Linked DNA regions of Canis lupus familiaris. The protein of the gene in region 1 interacts with the protein of each later gene in a biochemical or structural test. Links are inferred from orthologs where the notes say so. Each region holds a gene or a part of one and is shown on either strand. Other genes may lie near its edges.

What was found. The genes of interacting proteins can lie anywhere in the genome.
Region 2: the proteins of GABARAP (region 1) and NEK9 form a complex in vitro, tested with the Homo sapiens proteins (2 studies listed by BioGRID and IntAct, with this or other methods). The link is inferred for Canis lupus familiaris from reciprocal best matches to the Homo sapiens genes GABARAP and NEK9.
Region 3: the proteins of GABARAP (region 1) and SEC62 interact in a test that uses a peptide from one of them, tested with the Homo sapiens proteins (2 studies listed by BioGRID and IntAct, with this or other methods). The link is inferred for Canis lupus familiaris from reciprocal best matches to the Homo sapiens genes GABARAP and SEC62.
Region 4: the proteins of GABARAP (region 1) and STK3 form a complex in vitro, tested with the Homo sapiens proteins (2 studies listed by BioGRID and IntAct). The link is inferred for Canis lupus familiaris from reciprocal best matches to the Homo sapiens genes GABARAP and STK3.

Annotation. Positions count from the first base shown.
Region 1 is NC_049226.1:32,414,000-32,418,529, forward strand, and holds GABARAP (gamma-aminobutyric acid receptor-associated protein), read right to left. Parts: upstream 2,890-4,530; 5' UTR 2,771-2,889; coding exon 2,681-2,770; intron 2,122-2,680; coding exon 2,043-2,121; intron 1,899-2,042; coding exon 1,780-1,898; intron 1,282-1,779; coding exon 1,216-1,281; 3' UTR 792-1,215; downstream 1-791. Other genes in the region: CTDNEP1 (CTD nuclear envelope phosphatase 1), read right to left, coding at 4,488-4,530. UniProt on the Homo sapiens protein: Ubiquitin-like modifier that plays a role in intracellular transport of GABA(A) receptors and its interaction with the cytoskeleton.
Region 2 is NC_049229.1:48,533,761-48,538,674, forward strand, and holds the start of NEK9 (serine/threonine-protein kinase Nek9), read right to left. Parts: upstream 3,151-4,914; 5' UTR 3,008-3,150; coding exon 2,789-3,007; intron 577-2,788; coding exon 399-576; intron 1-398.
Region 3 is NC_049255.1:34,814,848-34,819,698, reverse strand, and holds the start of SEC62 (translocation protein SEC62), read right to left. Parts: upstream 3,151-4,851; 5' UTR 3,030-3,150; coding exon 2,994-3,029; intron 1-2,993. UniProt on the Homo sapiens protein: Mediates post-translational transport of precursor polypeptides across endoplasmic reticulum (ER). Proposed to act as a targeting receptor for small presecretory proteins containing short and apolar signal peptides.
Region 4 is NC_049234.1:1,024,695-1,029,559, reverse strand, and holds the start of STK3 (serine/threonine-protein kinase 3), read left to right. Parts: upstream 1-1,715; 5' UTR 1,716-1,905; coding exon 1,906-1,931; intron 1,932-4,865. UniProt on the Homo sapiens protein: Stress-activated, pro-apoptotic kinase which, following caspase-cleavage, enters the nucleus and induces chromatin condensation followed by internucleosomal DNA fragmentation.

The DNA.
Region 1 (4,530 bases):
GGGCGCCGACGCACAATGCATCATGGGGCTTGTAGTCCGTCCGGGGCCAGCGGAAAAGGGATCGCATAGGCCTCTGGAACTTCACTTCCCAGCAAGCCAAGGAACAGCGCAGGCGCACTAAACCGCTCCCCTCCCCCGGGGAGTGGCGGGGAGATTGGGAGCAGAGGGCAGAGCGGAAGAGCGCGCGCAGGCTCCTGGGAAATGTAGGCTGGGCGGGACTAAGAAAGAAGGAAAAGAAGGGATTAGAACTCTCGGCCACCATACTGCCTCATTCTGCGGCTGCTTTCTCCCCCGGGGGACCGCCCCACTTCCGGCCAGGCGGAGAAATGCTTGCTGGGGGATGAAGTTCTCCTGATGATAATGGCTCCCTTCTCGCTCCCTTGAATTCCACCCACTGGCACCAAGTCTGGTCAAGTGAGATGCAACCCAGGACAGAGTCCTCTGACTGGCTCCCACGCACGAAAATCTCTTCTTTCATCCAAAAGCTGTAACAAACTTGGGTGCATTTATCTAAAGTGGATACTTACTTTCTCCCCAGGAACCCAAAGTAAAAAAACAAAAGCCACTGTATTTTTTACATTGGGACCCAATACACAAGTATATAAAAGTATAGTTTCATGACCTGATACTTGGGAGTATTCGATCACAACAAAAATACTTTTGCGCAAGCAGTAACCCAATATCAACAGAATAAACCAGAATGTAGGATTACTGCCCCTCCAACCTCCACTCTCCCCACCAGAGGACAACTAGGAAAAAAGGGGCGGGAAGCAACACAAAGTAAAATCCAGTTCAGCTTGGTGGTTTCCTCTTTATTGATGTGCCTCCTGCCTTCCCCCCAACAATTTCAGTCCCTTCCCTCTACCCCCAAAAATGAAGGTAATGAGAGGAAGGGAATGTTGGGGTTCTGAGCCCCTTGGGCAGTTAGGGAACAGAAACCAAAACAATCACCGGATGTGACAGAGACGGACAATCAAGAAGTCTAGAGCAGAGTGGGAAAGGTCGAAGAGGAAGGGGAGAAAGGAGAGGTCCAAGAAGCCACCTCCCCCATGAGCCCTCCTGCTGAGAAGGGCTGGAGGAGAGCCTCAAACATTAGGAAGTGCAGGTCCCAACAAAGGGAGGTGAGGGATGAGCCCAAAGAAGGAGTAGGTCGAGGATGGGGGCCACCTCTGTCTTTGTAGAACCGGACCCCCCCCCACGTCAGGGGCAGCAGCTTCACAGACCGTAGACGCTTTCATCACTGTAGGCGATGTATAGAAAGAAGTCTTCTTCGTGGTGTTCCTGGATGGAGGCAGAAAACTATGGCACTCAGACGTCGGGGCTGTGGGCACGTGAACCACCCACTGCCCAGACACGTTTTTTGGAAAGCCCGTTCTTTCTGAAGACCCCCAAACGCTAGTGCCCTGACTCATACTCACTCATTTGCTCCAGGCCTTAGCAGCCAACAAGATTACCGCTGGCAGCAGTCCTGGGCAAAAAGATCTCAAACTGTTCCAAAATCTGCTGCCTTATACTTACCTGGCAGGGGAGATACCATGATCACAAAATCTGCTGCCTTGGGATGGTGGGGAAAGTGGACAAGAGGGTGGATCCAAAGCACTGCTGTAGTTCTCACCTCTATTCCCAATACCTTTATCCAAGCCCTCAACCTGGGACTACCCTCAAAATTTTGAGGTCACACGTAAAACTGAGAGCCAGCCAGCTAGTCCAAGAACTGCTGACCTGAAAATCTCTTCCAACACCTCTGCGGAGCCCCTGACTCCTTCCCAGTCACCATACCTGGTATAGCTGACCCATTGTGGCACTGGTGGGTGGAATGACGTTGTTGACAAAGAAAAACAAGGCATCCTCAGCTCGGAGATGAATTCGCTTCCGGATCAAGAAGTAGAACTGACCAACTGCCAAAGAGACAAGATACGATAAAGTCACAGGGATCAAAAAAGGCCTCAGAAGAGCAGTCACTACGGGGAGGCAGCATTTTCCCACCGACACTGCACCCCCACGCACAGGCAGCAAACCTGGGTCCTGGGTCAGGTTCCCACCTGTGAGATCAGAAGGCACCAGATACTTTTTTTTGTCCAGGTCTCCTATCCGAGCTTTGGGAGCCTTTTCTACTATCACCTATAAAAAGAAAGACGGAAATTAGGAAGCATCGAGGGGGGACAGCCCCACAGTCACCCCGTCGAGAACTCCAGAAACAAAACTGCTAGCACCCCAAGCCATCCAACTCGTTTTTCTTTGTCTGGGAACACGCGGTGCAGCCTCAAGCAGAGGCATCCTGACCCCGCAGCGTCAGGCTCACCTCGATATCCTGAATCCCCCGGCTGGGCGTCATAATAAACGAGGATCTTAGGCAGGCATGGCTCGTGCGAGCCGACGACAGCGTCGGCCTCGACGAGCCGGCCAGCTGGGAGGTGGCCATGGGAAGCCCCGACTGTCAAACTCCCTGCAGCCTCCCCAGCACTCCACACGTCTCCCTCGGCCAGCCGCGGCCCCCCACCCCCAGCTCCCTCGCCGCCCCGCTCCTTCCAACCTCCGCTCCCGGACACGATAGCCCCTGGCCCGGTCCCCGGCCACCCCCGCCAGCAGCCCGATGCCCTCGCTGCCTCGCCGGACCCCAAGCCGGGCTGTGGCGTCAGAGCCAGCGCCCCGCGTCCGCGGCCCCGGCTATGGTTCTCACCGGAACCCGGTCCGGGTATTTCTTTCTGATCTTCTCGCCCTCAGAGCGGCGTTTCTCGAACGGATGCTCTTCTTTATACACGAACTTCATCCTCCCGGGAACCGGGCTGGACCGGGCTGGGCTGAGGGAACCCGGGGGGGGGCCGGGACGGGGGGCGGCGGCGACGGCGGCGACGCGCGGGCGGACTCAGCGGAGCGATCCCGGGACTTGCGCCACTTCCCTATTCACCAACCCCGCCCCCGGCCGTCGGGGCCGCCCCGCCCGCTGGGTTACGCTACTAGCGTAACGGCCCTCACGCCGCCGGCGTAGCACCACCTACTGACCGCCCCCCTCACGCTGCCTGCGTAATCGCTTTGGAATCAGCTTGAGGGCTACGCAGCCGACGTAGCCAAGGTGGTTGGTCTGGGCTATGGTCGAAAATAACCGAAAACCCACATTCCGCCGTGCCCCACCGAGCTGGGCACCACAAGGGCTAGGAACTGCCGATTGTATTCTGAGGCTTGGTGCTCCGAAAAGTCTTTTCGGATACAAGGTGAAAAGGGGGAGGGGGGGAAGCAGAGAATTTTAAGGACAGCTATTCACGAAACGCGTCGGTACGCCGAAGGCGGCTGCTGACTCCAAAACAAAGTAGTACCCAAACGGAGAAGCTGGATCTCCGGGAAGAAAGGAGGGCAGACACGAAACAGGTATTCGCAGAAACGCACAGAACGCCTAGGTTCCCAGGAGGAGTGGACCAATGGGGACCGGAGAGGAGGTCCGAAAGGTAGGGACTACGTCAGCGCGGAGGAACACCTTCGGCACTGGCAGCAACGAAAAGTCATGTGATCTCAGAGAAGGGCGGAGCGTCACGTGGCGGCCGCGGGAAGTAGAGCCGGCCGCGGGGGGAGGGGCGCCGGCGGGAGGGGAGGGGGCGGGGCCGAGGGCCGGGGCACTCTCTGCGTCCACGTCGGTGCGCCTGCTCACGGACCGCGGCTTCCTCCTGCCCTGCAGCTCTGGTTCGCCGGGACCCACGGCTGTCCCTCCGACCCCACCCAGGGCACTCATCCTGCGGCCGAGACCCTTCCCACCAAAGGTCGACTCGTTCCCTGCTCCTTCCTCCGGAGCCAGCACCGCTGCTCCCTGACCCTCGGGCCTCGGCCTCCGCTTTGGGGAGCCAGGGTGGATGTGAACAAAGACTCCTCCCCTCATTTCCCAACCCTGAGAGAAGGACCTAGGGCAGCTTTGGTTTCAAAGTTATAATGCATGGTTTAAAAGAGAGGAAAGAAAAAGAGAGCGCGCCGGTTACAGGTCTGAGAGTATAGGAAGAAGGGAATGTAGAGGGAAAGGTTGGGGGCAGGGGGACAAGTTTGGGGAAAATCCAGTGGCCCAAAATCCCAGTTCCCCACCCACAGCCCAGCCCTTGGAGTGAAGAATTAGATCAGTTTTGTACAAGAGTTTTTAAAAAATCAAATCACAACAAAGCTGGCTTGGCTTTTCTTTGAGCCTCCCGGATTACCGAATGTCTGTGTGTCATTCTGGCCAGTCCTGTCTCCACCAGACAGTTTGGACTCTCCTGGGCCTCCGCTTATGTCCCAGTCTGGGGTTTCCAGAGAGTGCGAACACGAAGTTAGAGTGAGGCTGCTGCAGAGTCTGACCCATGTGTCCATCCAGACTCCGTGTGGAGTGCAGGGCTCCCAGGGCAGAGAGGGGCGGGAGGGGCAGACCCTGCCCAGACAGTCCTCACCATGGGACAGGGCATCAGACGGCATCCCGAGTGCTCACCCTCCCTTTCCCCCCCACCCCAACTCAGGTGGAGGGGGAGCAGCTGTCACCAGAGCCGATGTTGGTGAAGGTTTCGGCTCAGCACAGAA
Region 2 (4,914 bases), on another chromosome or scaffold:
TAAATAAATAACACTCATAAGATTTCATTAATATTACATCAAGCCGTGCCATGCCACATGTTTCTTAGTGCCTAGTTAGATGTCTAACACTAATGCCTAAAGTTAATTCATGTGAAAAAAACCTTGAAAAGTGAATGTGAAATTCAACTGAACAAATAATTTGAAGTTGGAACTATAAGCACAAGAATTTGAATATGCAGGGGAAAATCCCTTTCCTTATTTTGTAACTCACTTAAAAATTCTCTAAGAACTATTCTCTTAAACTATTTGAGTTATTTCCCTTCAACTCTAGAAATCCACTTAAAATTTTTAATCAATGTATATGCCTTTTATTTTTTTCTCCCCCTCAAGGTACAAGAATGTCTTGCCAAAGGAGGGCCCGTTGAATTCGACCTTACCGTTACAATATTCCAGCTCAATCAGCAGGGTGGTATTGTCCATGAAGTGATTGTAGTAGGCAATAATGTTGTCATGCTGCAGCAGCGCCAGAATAACAATCTCATTCAAGGCGTCACGACGTTCCTTCTCTGACAGTCGGATCAAATCAACTTCCTTCCACACAACCAGTGAGTCATCCTACAACACATTAATAGAGGTATTGTGCTTTACTCTTGCCTGGCAGAGAATGAATCCACACCTGGATCTGTAAGTCTAGAAAGAAAACTTCCTAGATGGGCAGAGACTGACTCCTTTTATTTTTTCCTTTAAAAAAAACAGGAACAGAATTTAAAGGTTCTTCATACAATTGCGCAAAGCACTAAGATGCTGTTACATTGCTGCTACACTTAATTTGCATGATGTCAATTTCAGGTAAAAATAGGAAAGGTAGATCTCTAAGATTCTATTGAGGGACATTATGACAACCTGCTAGTCATGATAAGCAGTAGTAGGGCTAGAATATTGGGAGAAATGGAGAGCTGGAGAGCATGGTTATCTATAGCTAGTTACAGTTCCTTGTAAAATGGTAATATTAAACTTATCTCTAATTTTATAAATTTAGATTTCTCTAGTGATTTCTGTTTATGGTTTCTGGATAGGAATAAGTGATGCCTAAGGGCTTAGAGTTCACTTCCCTCACCTGCCCTATGTTGCAACTCCTATAGCTCCTATAACTTTTGTGTCATGTGTTTCCCTCTATCCATGACAACTTATCTGCAGCTCCCAATATCCACTCCCTTTTACAACACCCAAATTCTTTACTGATACTGCTTCCCAGCCCTGGAGCATCCCCACCTAAATCATTCTCCTTATCCTTTAGAATGATTCTGCCAGAACTTTTAAACTTGGGGGTAAGGGGTTATCCTGATAAACCTTCTACTGTGCCTTTATTCAGTGCAACCATTCCTTCATTTTCACAACTTACACTGGTATGATATTTGTGCATCCTTTCTCATTTATATACACATTCAACTTAAATGCTTTAAAAAAAAAAAACTAATGGCCAACTTGTCTTTCCACTGAAATAAAACCTTCTGGAGAGAAAGGGCTGCTTCTAATTAAACCTTTGTAAATTCACAAACATCATAAACATTTGGCAATATGAACAATGGTCTGCCATTTTTGAGAAGTATAATCAAATTTTACATAAACCAACCTCAATAATCAAGTTCAACATGATGGAAAGGCATGGGAGAGGAGACCTGAAACACTGTTCTAGCCCAAGATTTACTTCTAAGTGTCAAGTCATTTAAATATACTGTCTTAGTTTAATTATAAAACAGAAACAGCAATGCTCATCTTCTCCTTCTCATGAGTACAAATAAGAAAAACAGAATACCAACAGTAACCCTAAAACTGTACATTAATGTTGCACTAAGATAAAAAAGAACAGGAAAATTTTCTCTTGCAACCACCCACTTCCCCTCCTCCAACTTTCGGCCTTAAAAACTATGCTAGCTTGGAACACACCCCAGAACTGCAAATGGATCATTTATGGGTGAATCTTCATCACCCACAGTCTTCAAGTTTAAGACTTTAGTGATAAAGTCCAATTGATGGTTAGTTTTTGGAAGTAGTGTCAGCACTACAAGGCTTCAGATCAGTATACGTTCTGGACTTGGGGGGTCAGTGATCTATGAATCTCTTCAAAGGATGTGTATATATGCAAAGCGGGGCGGGGAGGGACGGATTATTTTTACATTAGGTTTTCAAAGGAGTCCTTGCCTCCCCCTAACCCAAGTTAAGAAACAGTGGCTTAGAATATGCCAGAAAGGTATTTCCCATTCACAAACACAGATGAAGAAAGTGACGAACCCAAGGATCTTCTAAAAAATCTCCAACTAGGTGTTCATACCTGAATTTAAAGATAGCGGCAAAGACGGTGGAATTGCCACTAACGTGGGAATTTTGAAGCTATTCCCCTCCTCTCCACCCCGACCTCGGAGAGCTGTACACACGAGGGAAGGAAGTTTTGACAACACTTCACATTCGTATGCCACTTTAGTTTGCAAAGTACCTTCGATTCTCAAAATCAAACTTAAAAAAATAAAAGATTATTTTTAGGGGGGTTATCATTAACCCCAATTTACAGATGGGAAAACTAAGGCTCAGAGAAGGTTCAACGCTTTGCTCAGTTCCCCAGGTTCGACAGAAACCATCAGTCAGTAAAACCGGGGATCTAAACTCCCGGCGCAGGGGAGCTGGAAGAGTGGAGAAGACCCGGAGACAAACACCCTGCGGCCACGCAAACCTAAGTGACCTAAGTGAGGACGAGGGAGGCGCCAGCCTCGGGGCTGGAAAGCGGGGCGGCGAAGGAGGGGCTGGGGCGGCCGGAGCCGGGGGCCGCTACCTCTGTGCGGCGGTACAGCGTGGCCTCCCCGAAGGCGCCGCGGCCCAGGACGCGGATGGGGATGTAGTGCAGCTCCTCCTGCTCCGCCGCGCCGCCGCCGCCTCGCGGCCCGGGACCGGCGCTGGGCCCGGGGCCCGAGTCCCCGCCACCCCCGGACTCGCTCCCAAAGTCCGAGTTGATGGAGTCGCAGTGTCGCTCGTACTCGCCCAGCACCGACATGGTGGCGGCTGCGGGACCGGCCTGCGTGTCCCCAGCGGCGCCGGCCGGCGCTGGCCGCGCTACTGCTCTCCCCCTTCAGACGCCGGCCCGCGGCTCCGTCCGCCCCGCTACCCCGCGAGGCTCCATGGTGGCTCCTGCCCCCTGACCCGGAAGCAGTTCCGGGTGCTTCCGGCCCGGCGGGCTTTCCTCCGCCCCCGCCGGCCCACTTGCTGAGTCCCCGGCCCGGCTCCCCCCCCCCCCCCCCGCCTCCCTCCCTCCCTCCCTGCCGGCGGGCCGCGCTGGCTGGCCGTCGGGGCGGGCGGGCGGCCTGGAACCCAAGGGCTCTGGCGGCGGCCGGGGAGTCGCCGACCGGTCTGTGGACCCGCCCCCGATCCCTGGCCAGGATCCAACGGCTCCGAGGTCCGGAGGTCGCCCCGTCGCATCTCGGCGCCAGGCCTATCTCGAGCGCGGTGATTCCACGTTGGACAGTGCTCGTTGTTTAGGGAGATACTGAAGATAACTGTAGTAAGCGGAAATACTTGCCTCCTGTCATCTCAGCCCGTAGGCCCAGTCGTTGCTCCCAGAACCACCCTAGGTCCTTCCCTCTTCTATACAACTCCCCAAAATATTTTAAGTCAACTCTCTTTTCCCCGATTTAACATTCTCCTTCCGTGTATCTGTCCAAATCTTTGACCGTCTGACCTCTTGCAACATTCTTGGAGCACGGGGTGCCAGTATATTTGAAGGTGGGAAATCTACAAGAAGATGCTCTAAACCCTCAAGTCGCTAAGAGAATTGTAATACAGTGAAAAAACATGTTCCATCAGTTATTGACCTCGGGCAACTTTACATCTCCAAGCTTTTTTAAAATCTGTAAAGCTGTAGGAACATGACCTGTATCACAGAGTTAACAGCTAAGTTTTATTGAGTGTTTTGTTCCTAACACTGTTAAAGGTTGTCTTTCCTTGAGTCATCCCACTTAATCCTCATATTTTTCCCCAATCTACCGAGGGAACTGAGATAGAGAGATTAAGTAACTTGCTCAGTGTTACACAGCTAATAAGGGAAGTCAAACCCAGTAATCTGGATCCACATCTTTCAGAGAGCATGTCTTGAGAGTAAGAGAAAGTCATGTGGCTGGAGGCCAGGGTGTATGTAGGGCAGAAGCAAGAGAAGACAGGGCTTCAATTGTTGAGTTTGGCTTTCCTGTGGACAATAGAAAATAAATTGAAATTTTTAAGGAGGGGAGTATATGATTAGTGACTATCCTAATTTGCTGGGGAAGTCCCAATTCACGCCTTTTCCCCAGGCATAATAGAGCTTTATTTTGCTCAAGTGCCCAGCTCAGACAATAAACAACAGTCACTTTACATAAGACCAAAGATATATTTTCTTAAGAACTCTGTTAACAATGTGGAGGACAAAGGCTAGAAGCAGGGAGACCAGTTAAGAGACAATAAAATTCTAAGAAAAGAAGAGGCACTGAAGTATTTATCTATCAGTGTGAGTGGAAAGGAAGTCCATATTTGAGAAATCCATCTGAGAAACATTTATTTTTTAAGAGATTTTAATTACCTGAGTGAAAGATAGGGAGAGAAAGCATGAGAGTGGGGGGGGGGGGGGCGCGGAGAGAAGGAAGCTCCTGCTCAACAGGGAGCCTGAATTGGGGCTCAATCTCAGGACTCTGGGATTATGACCCAAGCCAAAGGCAGATGCTTAACCAACTGAGCCACCCAGGCATCTCCATCTGAGGAACATTTAGAACTTTATGATCAGTAGGGATGTGGTTGATGAGGTAAATAAATGAGTCCAGGAGATTCACTTCCTGATTTTTAATGAGGTGGATAGTGATTGCAAGGAGAGGATAAAGAGAATTGGTAGAATGGGGTAGGGGAGTTGTGAAAGATGAATTCACACTCCTTTGACCT
Region 3 (4,851 bases), on another chromosome or scaffold:
TAGAAGACTTGGTCTAAATCTGGTTTTACTACCCTGATGAGTGACCCTGGGTCAAGTCATATAACCTCACTGAACCTCAGTTTATCTATAAAATGACAGTGATATATCAATAAGTTTTATGCCTAGTAAACTTTTAGATGTAGGTCCTAAAAATAGCCTAAAGGACCATGAGGTATGGCAAGATGGTAGTGGGGTACTGAGGTGATAGGGCTTTGTTTGGGCCCATCGTTCTGCTTTTTTACATAAGAACTCCCTTTGTGCAAAGGGATTCCACACAAATTTTACAATCTGAAAATCCTTCTCAACTCTAAAATTTCATGATACCAAGATTCCAAACCAGTAAGCACTTTGTTAACCAACAAGCACATATTGCATATTCTTAAAAACCTACAAAATTAATTTCTTAAATCTTAAAGTTATTTATTTTCAAATGGTCCATTAATTTGGATTGACATTACTCTTTGAGAATCTCCATCATTATGGTTTCCTATTATAATGTTAATAAACATGTGGCTCACTTCCAGTTTTCAGTGATCAGTAAAATGAATCTAAGAAAATGTGGTAAAATAGTCCCCTTCCTTCTAACTTTGACGGGATATCAGAATCTGAAATTTCATAACCCTAGAAAAAGCAAATAATTAGCTAATTTTCCAGACCCTGAAATTGTATCAATCATTTCTTCCAATGTACAAATTACAATTCAAGGTCACTTGAATCTATTAGACATAAAAATCTTTTTTAAAACATGAAGCATCAAGTAACAACAGGAAACTGAGTTGATATTACAGACCTTTTTGCCCCGAAGTCTTACAATAGAATCTTTTCTGTAACTTCAACTATGAACTTTCATTACATTTGATCTTTTTGTCTAAAGCGATGCCAATATTATAGTTTCTCATTGGCGGGGGGGGGGGGGGGGGGGGGGGGGAACCCAAGGATGTTATATTTTACATTTTTACTGGTTTGTTAACACTGTGTAGTGGTACTCTAAGTAGCATTCCCAAGAGGTCCACAACATTTTAGCACAGCTATGTATAAACTTCCAGAATGGGAAAAATAAATGTAATATGTTTTCTTTTAGCAATATGTCAATCAGATTCTCACATATTTATCTGATCCTCAAACAATATCAGGTAAACAGGTATACTTTATGGAGCTTACAACTTAATGGTTTATTCACTAAACAGATAGCTGTTAATCTTTTTTCAGCGTATCAGAATGGTTAACAAAAAAAAAAAAAAATTATCCTAAATCCTTCCTCCTTTTGGGTACAGGAAAAGGAAGGAGTGATATGCTGAATACTCTTAATAACTTCTACAACCTTTAATAACAAATCCCTGACTCATCTATTTTTCACAACAACCTTACAAACCTTTGGTGAGGTACATATCCTTTCTTCTAATTTGTAAATTGAGGTAAAAAGTTAAGTAACGTGCCCAAAGTTACACAACTAATAATTAGTGAAACCAGGGTACAAACAGGCAAGCCTGGCTCAAGTTTTAGCTCCCTGCCACTACTACATGGCTTCTTAATGTACCTTACCATTTGACAGAAGATCAAAATTGAAGGAAAAAAAAAGGGGGGGGGGGGCAGCTAGTCAAAAGTGAATAAGGATCACCTTTATAACCAATGGCAAAGAAAAGCTGAAATTGTACAAATAATGTGTATTCAAAGGCATAACATGTACTATCTGTGTTACTTTAAGTACAAATTTGACCAACGACTTCAATACAAACTCTGACCATACCCAACCAATAACAAACACCGAATTCTGAAACTTAGGAATAGTTTGAGAAAGAAATGAAAAAAGAAAAGGAAAGAAAGAAAGAAGGAAATTAAGAAGGAAAGAAAGAAGGAAAGAAGGAAGGAAAGAAAGAAAAGAAAGAAAGATGTTCCACAATAACCTTAAACCCTAGTCCGATGACCTGCTGGAACTTGGGGCAATTTGTCTCTTTCTGTATCTCTTCTGTACTCTGTTGGGAACTACTTCCCTATTTCTGCCCGATTCCAAAAATCCCAGGTTTGCTGGTCACTGGCATCCTTTCCCCGCTAGCACTTCATAGTTTTCTGGAGGATGTTAACGTGCATGGCTCAAATCACCTGTGATAAGGCCCAAGTAAGTGACCACAAAATAGATCCAGATCTAGATCTATCTATACATATAATTTTAAACGGAGGAATAGGACATTACAGAGAAAAAAACTAGTCATTCTAAGCATCGGGACCCGAGGAGACAGACGGGATGGGCAGCATCAACCGAGTACGCCGTGTGGATCTGCGACGACGCGGGAGGTTTCCGGCAGGTTAGGCTGAGGCGGCGGCTGGGAAACACCACGCCAGGTCTACGGCGTTCGGCGCGGCTTCGCCCGCTTGGCCCAAAGGCAGGACGACGGAGGAGCCGCCGGGGAGCAACGCACAGGTGACGAGCGCGGGCGGCGGGGCGGCGGGGCGGGCTGCAGGGCGCGACCCCGCCGCCGTGTGTCTCCGCCGCGTCGCGGGCGCCGCTGCACGTCTGGAGGCCGAGCGCCGCGCGGGCCCCGCCGGGCAGCAGCAGACGCGTCCCGCCCGCGCACAAAGCGCCGGCCGCCGCGGGTCCGTGGGCCCCACCTCCTCCCACCCTGCGTCCCGCGGCCGCGACTTCGGGGTAACGAGCGCGCGAGGCCGAGGCCGCGGGGGGCGCGGGAGGCCGGGGGCGCGGCGCAGGCCCGGCGGGGCGGCCTCGGGGACCCCGGGCGGCCCGCCCCGAGCGCGGCGCCTCTCGCCTCCCGCCGCGGCCGCCCCTCGCCCGCCTCGCTCCCAGCCGTCGCCGTCGCCGTCCCCGTCCCCGTCCCCGTCGCCGACACCGCCCCCCCTCAGGCCCCCTCACAACGGCGCCTCGCGCGGGGCCGCCCCACCGGCCTCGCCCTCCCGGGGCGCTCCCCTCGCCGCGTCTCCTGCCGAGCGCCCCGAAGCCCCCTTGCCCCGGGTGGGAGCGGGGGGCTCGCCTTTCCTACCTGGATCCGCTTCTTGTGTCTCCTGCGCTCCGCCATGTTGGCCGCTCCGCCCGGTTCCCTCTGACGTGGAGCGAGGAGGGGGCGGTGGAAGCCTCGCGAGAGCGCGCGTGGGCCCGTTATGTAATCGGGCGGCGGGCGGGCGGGCGGGGAGGGGAGCCCGCGAGAGGCGGCGGCCGCGCCGGCCTGGTCGGCTCCTTGCTTCTCCTCCCCACTCGTCCCCCCGTGCTGCGGGAACTGGAACTCTCCCTGGGACCGGGAGGAGACTGAGACGCGGTCCGGAGAGCGGGAGGGCGCGGACGGAGGAGCACCTGCGCCTGCACCTGCAGCACCTGGGCGGGCGGTCGCCGGACATGCGGGCTCCCGCCCCGCCCCCACTCGGCGCACTCCCGGTCTGCACCGCGGGGGCCTGGCGGGGCCCGGGCCTCAACCCATCCTCCCGCCCCTGCGGAGCCCCGGGTGCTGCAGCGCCTCGAAAACAAAACGTTGGATTCTCCATCCCGTCTTCTATCTTGTTTCTCAAAATCCGAGAGGCAGAATTTAGGGAAGGACAAGCAACTAGTAAGAGGAGCGGGGGAGTCTGAGCCCGCAGGCGCCTTGAAGTCTGGTGAATGATTCTTCCAACTCCAACTATGATTATTTTATTTTATTTTTTGTTTTATGATATGTAACTCTTTTATTTATATTACTTTTACTTTTATTATTTTTTAAATTCGAGATCTAGATTCTTATTTATTATTTATTTATTTATTTATTTATTGGAGTCCAAGTTGTCAACATATAGCGCATCACCCAGTGCCCATCCCGTCGAGTGCCCCCCCCCCTTATTCTTTTAGAGAGTCTCAGGCTTGCAGCTGAACCTCAAAAGATACGGCATGGATGATTATTTCTAGCTGTCTTCTGGACATTTCCACGGAATGTCCAACGGGGGAAAAAAAACAAAATCACCATTTCGCCCTCCAAACCTACCCCTATGGCTGTATCTTAGACCTCTGGTAACCTTGTCATTGTTCCCCCGGTTACTCCTATTAGAAACCTTGGAGGTATCCCAACCGTGCTTCGCTGATCAATCACCAGCCCAACTGATCCTGCAGCACAGATGTTTGGAATTCTTTCCTGCTTCATCATTCCTACTTGCCGGCTCCCAGTCAGCTCTTTAGCAGGGCTCACCTGGACTGTTGGCGAGTTCACCTGGAGTGTTGGCGAGAGCCTCCCTCTCATTCGAGCCCAACTCCAGGCCCAACTCCAAGGCGATCCTCCGCTCCCCCACCCCAGGGCCCCCCCAGTTGTGACCCACACAGGCGCCCCATTATTTTGTTATTTCAAATACAAATGGATTTCATGGACTTCCATAAGGAGGCATGTAATATCTGGTTGTTTCTTTTTTTGTGATGTTAGCAGCCATTCATGATCATCATCTAGATTCTCTATCTTTCAGGGGTGTAAGACAGTGATACTCAAATTCTTCTTTTGCTTTTTAATAGCTGTAATGCTTCCACAGGGGAAACAGTTGCATAGTTGTATGGATGCTTAGCTCATGAGGGCTAATGTTCACACGTGTAAGCCAAATTTCAAATTTCTCCTAGTTAATATTTGCATAAAAACATCTCAAACCTTCTTCCCAGCACTCCATTTATATACTGGATGGCGGGGGCAGAGAGTTTCTCCTATCCACTTCTTGTTCTGCTTTCCCTTTGAATTTACATCTCACTCCTGTCGTTTGGCTCCTCTTTCTTTTCTTTCTTTCTTTCTTTCTTTCTTTCTTTCTTTCTTTCTTTCTTTCTTTCTTTCTTTCTTTCTTTTTCTTTCTTTCTTTTTTTTTTTTTTTTTTTTTTGGCTCTTCTTTCTTTCCCCAAGGAGG
Region 4 (4,865 bases), on another chromosome or scaffold:
CCTTACTATATCCAAGGTACCTGCTATGCAAGGGATAGAGAAGGTAAACATAGTCTAATTCTCAGCAGACTCATGGCTGGAATGATAGTCAAACAGAACTTTAATTTAGTACAACCAGCACAGTGTGTTATGGGCATATAGATGAGAGGCATCTCTTTCATAACTTAAATGTCAGAGATAGTGGGGGTGGTGGTGCTGGTGGTTTGACTGGGAAAGTCTTTCTGGAGATTAAGATTCATAGCATAATTCAGAGTCCATTTTAAAGTATGACAATTTGATCCCATTTTAAAATATGACAATTTTTAAAGAAGATTAAATGCTGTTCTCTGAAAGATTTTTTTGATGAAATAGAAGAAGATGGGACTAGGGCATGGAAGTGAGGATGAGAAGTGAGGGATAGAATGACATAATTTCAAAAGTTTTTCCTAGTTTTTGTGTTTTAATAATTTAGCTTTTTGCTGTCTTGTTAGTTCTGAACTATAAGTCCGTCGATGTTTAGTAAATGAAAAGGAGTATAAAATTTTATAACAATCTCTTTTTTGCAGAACCTGACTTCAGGGTTCAACAACGAATGGTCTTAAATTTAACATAACTAAATTTAATGGGGAATATAGTGCTTTGAAAAATAAATCATGTAAGTTTATTACATATGGAAACAATGCAAAAAAGAGGAAAACGACTATTAGACAAGTCTAATTTGGATTAATATTCACAAAGTTCCTTTATTTAACATTCTCTTCATAGACTTTGCTCTAACCTTCAAGAAACCTCTATGACTCTACACCTGGATAATTTCTAATGAAAGCAAACTCATTACATAGCACCTTAGATGATCATAAGAAAGATATTTATATACGGAACTTCATGTTAAATGGTATCCTAAAAAGATAGATGCAGGAAGGGATCAAATCACAATGAGGTCAGGGCCTTCGGAAAAGGTTGGGGGAGACAGGTGACAAGAAGGAAGAGAAACTTTTCTTGACTTCTTTTCTGTGCACCATAATTTGTTTTAGGTTTTCCAGGTGATCCAAGCGAACAGCTGGCAAGACCACAGTGCATGAAATCTGTGCACTGGGATCTCACCGCAGTCCTAATTTTCTTTGTAATCAGACGTAATTATAGCGAAATGTAGTGAGGAGTTTGTCCACAATCAACATCAAACAAGAATTTCCAGTAGTATCCCTCGTGCTGTAGCTACAAACGTCAAACCGGGCGGGCGTAAAACACAGCCCATAATTATAAACAACTAGAGACAGAAGCGTGGGCAGTTAGTGACACTTCAAAAGGCTGCACAAGATGCTTGGGATGTGTCTTTGGGAAATCCAGAGAAGAAATGAGTCAAATAGGATTGGGGCAAAAGCCAATTTTCGGAGGCAGATGCGGAGCGGCAGCTCTCAGCGGCTCCAGGGAAGGTGCATCCCCCGCCCCCGGCCAGCACAGACAGGCCCCGGGTCCTAACTAGGCCTTGGTCCGCGGGTCTCCGCGCCCTTTTTCCGCTCGCAGCTCGGGGGCCGGCGCTTGACTCCGCCTCCGCCTCGGCCTCGGCCTCCGCCTCCGCCTCGGCCCCGCCCCCGCCCCCGCCCCCGCCCCCGCCCCATCAGGGCCCGGCTCCGCCCACCAGCCTGGGCCGCCGCTGGCTCCGCCCACTCTCCCCGGGCGGCGGAGGGGCGGGGCTCGGCGGAGGGGCGGGGCTGGGCGGGGCTCGGCGGGGCGGGGAGGGGCGGGGCGCGGAGGCCGCGGCGCTCGCGAGCGGGAGGAGGATCCGCCGCGGACTTACGGGAAAGTTGGTCCGAGTTCCTGGAGGTTTTCCCCGGGGACTCGGGGGCTCGGCCGGCCGGTGCCCGGCTCCTGTCCTCCCTGCGTCCTTCAGCGCCCACCGGGGCCGTTCCTCTGTCGCCGGCCGCCATGGAGCAGCCGCCAGCGCCCAAGAGGTAACGCTCGCGGGGAGCCGGGAGCCGGGAGCCGGGAGCCGGGAGCCGGGAGCGGAGGGAGGGCGGGGGGGCCGGCGGCCGCGGGCGGGGGCGGCTAGGCCCGAGCTGGCGGCGACCCCTCCGCGGCGGCGGGGCCCGGGCCGGGCGCGTCGGCCGTCGCGAGGCGGGGCCGGGCCGCGGCTGCCCCCAGGCCCGGGGCGCCGCGGGGAGGCCGAGCCTGGCGTCTGCCGCGGCGGCCGGGCCTGGCGGCGTGGGGAGTCGCTGGGGAGTCGCTGGGGAGCGGCTGGGGAGCGGCTGGGGAGCGCCGGCCTCCCCGCCGCGCTCCTGGGCCTCTTCCTCCCGGCGAGTCTCGGAGCCCGGGACGCGAAACGGGGCATGCATTAGGCTGCTCGCAGCCTTCTCGGCGCTTTTGTCCAGTGTTTCTCGTGATACTGCCATTTATTTGAGAAGGCGGATTATTTGTTTCCCGTCGAAGGAATTCCGTAGGAACAGCTACGTAGTGTGTGGACCTTGAGGGTGTACCGCACTGACAGGTGTTCCTTCCTCACCGCCCTCAAGTTCAAAAGTATTTATGGATGCGAGACAGTAGGAATCCTAAATTAGAACCCCTTCCCCGCATAGTGCTTTGTTTTGTTTTCTAGCATATAGAAGTAGTGATGCTTTGGTATTTACTGTTAGTTTGATCTTTGATATATTGGAAGAGTGAGAGTACACAGTAGATACTTTTAAAAGTAGTATTTGAAATGATCAAGCTAAATCAAGGCTGCCCAGAGATATAAATTCATAATGTGCATCTTTTTTCCCCCCAAGAATGAATCAACGTCATTTAACTGGTGTTGTTTAAAACATGTAATCTCAGTCTTTCATTTGTAATTTATAAAATAAGAGTACTAATCTTTCTCCCAGAGAGTGCTGTTGTGAAGATTAAGGAGTTCCTGTGTTCTGATACTTAGAGATCTTTAGACGAAAGGTGATATATTCAGGAACATGGAATAATTAAAAAGGTAGGAACTTTGTGAGCTGTTGTGAATCGTGTGACTAGACATGTGAGCCTTGAGGCCTGGAAACCATCTGTTCAGGTGAAAAAAGGTGGGTGTGTGGAAGGGCGTCCAAAAGAGACTTGTTATCAGAGCCCTTGATTTTTGTCTGGTATTTTGTATTGAATTCTCGTATTGATTGGGCACCCAGTTTTAGTATCTTAGAAGAAAATTGGAAACTTTTTTTCTTCTCTGTTTTGGAAGGACTGTAAGGGGGCCACCTCTGAGATGATGCCCAAAGGTCAAGTTGAACAACTCCAAATTGAAGTAGAAGCTCTATTCATTCATTGGCTGTAAATTATCGGTTTCTTTATAGGTATAAGAGATCCTCTGGCCTTGCAGGGGCTCTAGAAAACCTAGAAGGGCCAGGGGGAGATGTGGGTGGTATATATAACCATTTCATGGTCATTTATACTTTACAAAGTGATGCTTGCACTCCAACAGGCTCATTTTTAGTTCTCTTCAGACAGACTTCGTTGTTCCAGGAAGGCATTTCTGGAAAGCAAGCTATGTGACATTAAGCCCATATATTTGAATGTCACTTAAATTTTTTTCATAGCATTTTCATTTTCATAATATCATCATAGCAACCCTATTACGTAAGTTTGATTACAGGAAGTAATCCTGTTTTGTAGCTGAGGACACAAAGAGTTTGCTCCATGGAAGGCTATGACAGGGATTACTGAAAGTGAGTTTTTGTGTCCTCCCTATTGATTATTACCTTCTAATAATAAAATATGCCATTTTTGAGGTCATTTTTTCCCCCAGGAAATTTGTATATGCATTCCTTTATTTTATTGTCATAAGAAAGAGGAATCATGGCTCTGCAGCTTATTACGCTAGTTCTAAATTTAATTTCTTCATCTGTAAAGTGTGTTACGGGGATTAGAATAGGTCATGTGTAAAAGCACTTAGCACAGTGCTCCATAATGTGTTGAACGACGCTAAATGTTGGTTTATTTTTTCCTTATTAAATGAAACTCAGAGAGGTTAAATAATTTGGTCAAGTGGAGGAGTTGCCAGAACCCTGAATCTGATTGGCTGCAAAGGCTGTGAACCCTCTCATTGTGTACAGTGATACCTCTTTTTAAAAACACTTCTTTTAGCCTTCCATGGTGTGGTGGCCATGTCTTTGTACGATCCTGTGGGCCCTCTGCTTGTTCTTTTCCTAATCCCTGTAAGAATGTTGCTTTGCTTTTCTGCCTTGCATAGGAGCACTTCCTTAGGGCTCAGACATTTTTACATGGTCACATTTATGTTGCTGATGTTCAAGTCTGTATGACCAGCAGGTGTGTTCAGTTGGAATATTTGATATTTTTATGCAGATCCATTCTTTCATTATTCTTTCTAGTTTGTCACTAAGTCCTATTGAATTCTCCATCAAGAAGTCTAGATTCATTTTCTTTTCTGTTTTTCATTTTTGATACTACTACTCCATACCTGGGTTTTATGACCGTCATACTTGATTTACAGCAATGCCTTCCAACTAGGTACTTTAGGGCAGTGGTTTAAAAAATTTTTTAGCAGGAAGGCTGTGTTTGGAGTAGAGGCAGGCACTAGGACCTGGTTCTCACTGCCTTATCTCCTTCTACTCCCCTTTTGCTGCCTGCAGAACCTCCTAATGATCCATAGGACACTGCCTGCAATGGCTTTTGATTTGTTTTCTTAAAGCATCACTTTCACCATGCTATTCCCTTTAAAAAAATTTTTTTTTTAATTTTTAAAAATTTTTTGGTTTGGGGCACACTTGTTTACTTAGTATCCAAGACCCCTATCACTTGGTCTCAGATTTAATCCCCAGGCTTTTGTTATTCTTCTCCAAGATGAATCTGTCCTGAAGTTTCCCTTTTGTTTTTTATTTAGGTTGTAGGGTATGGGTACTCCCAACTTTGCCTTT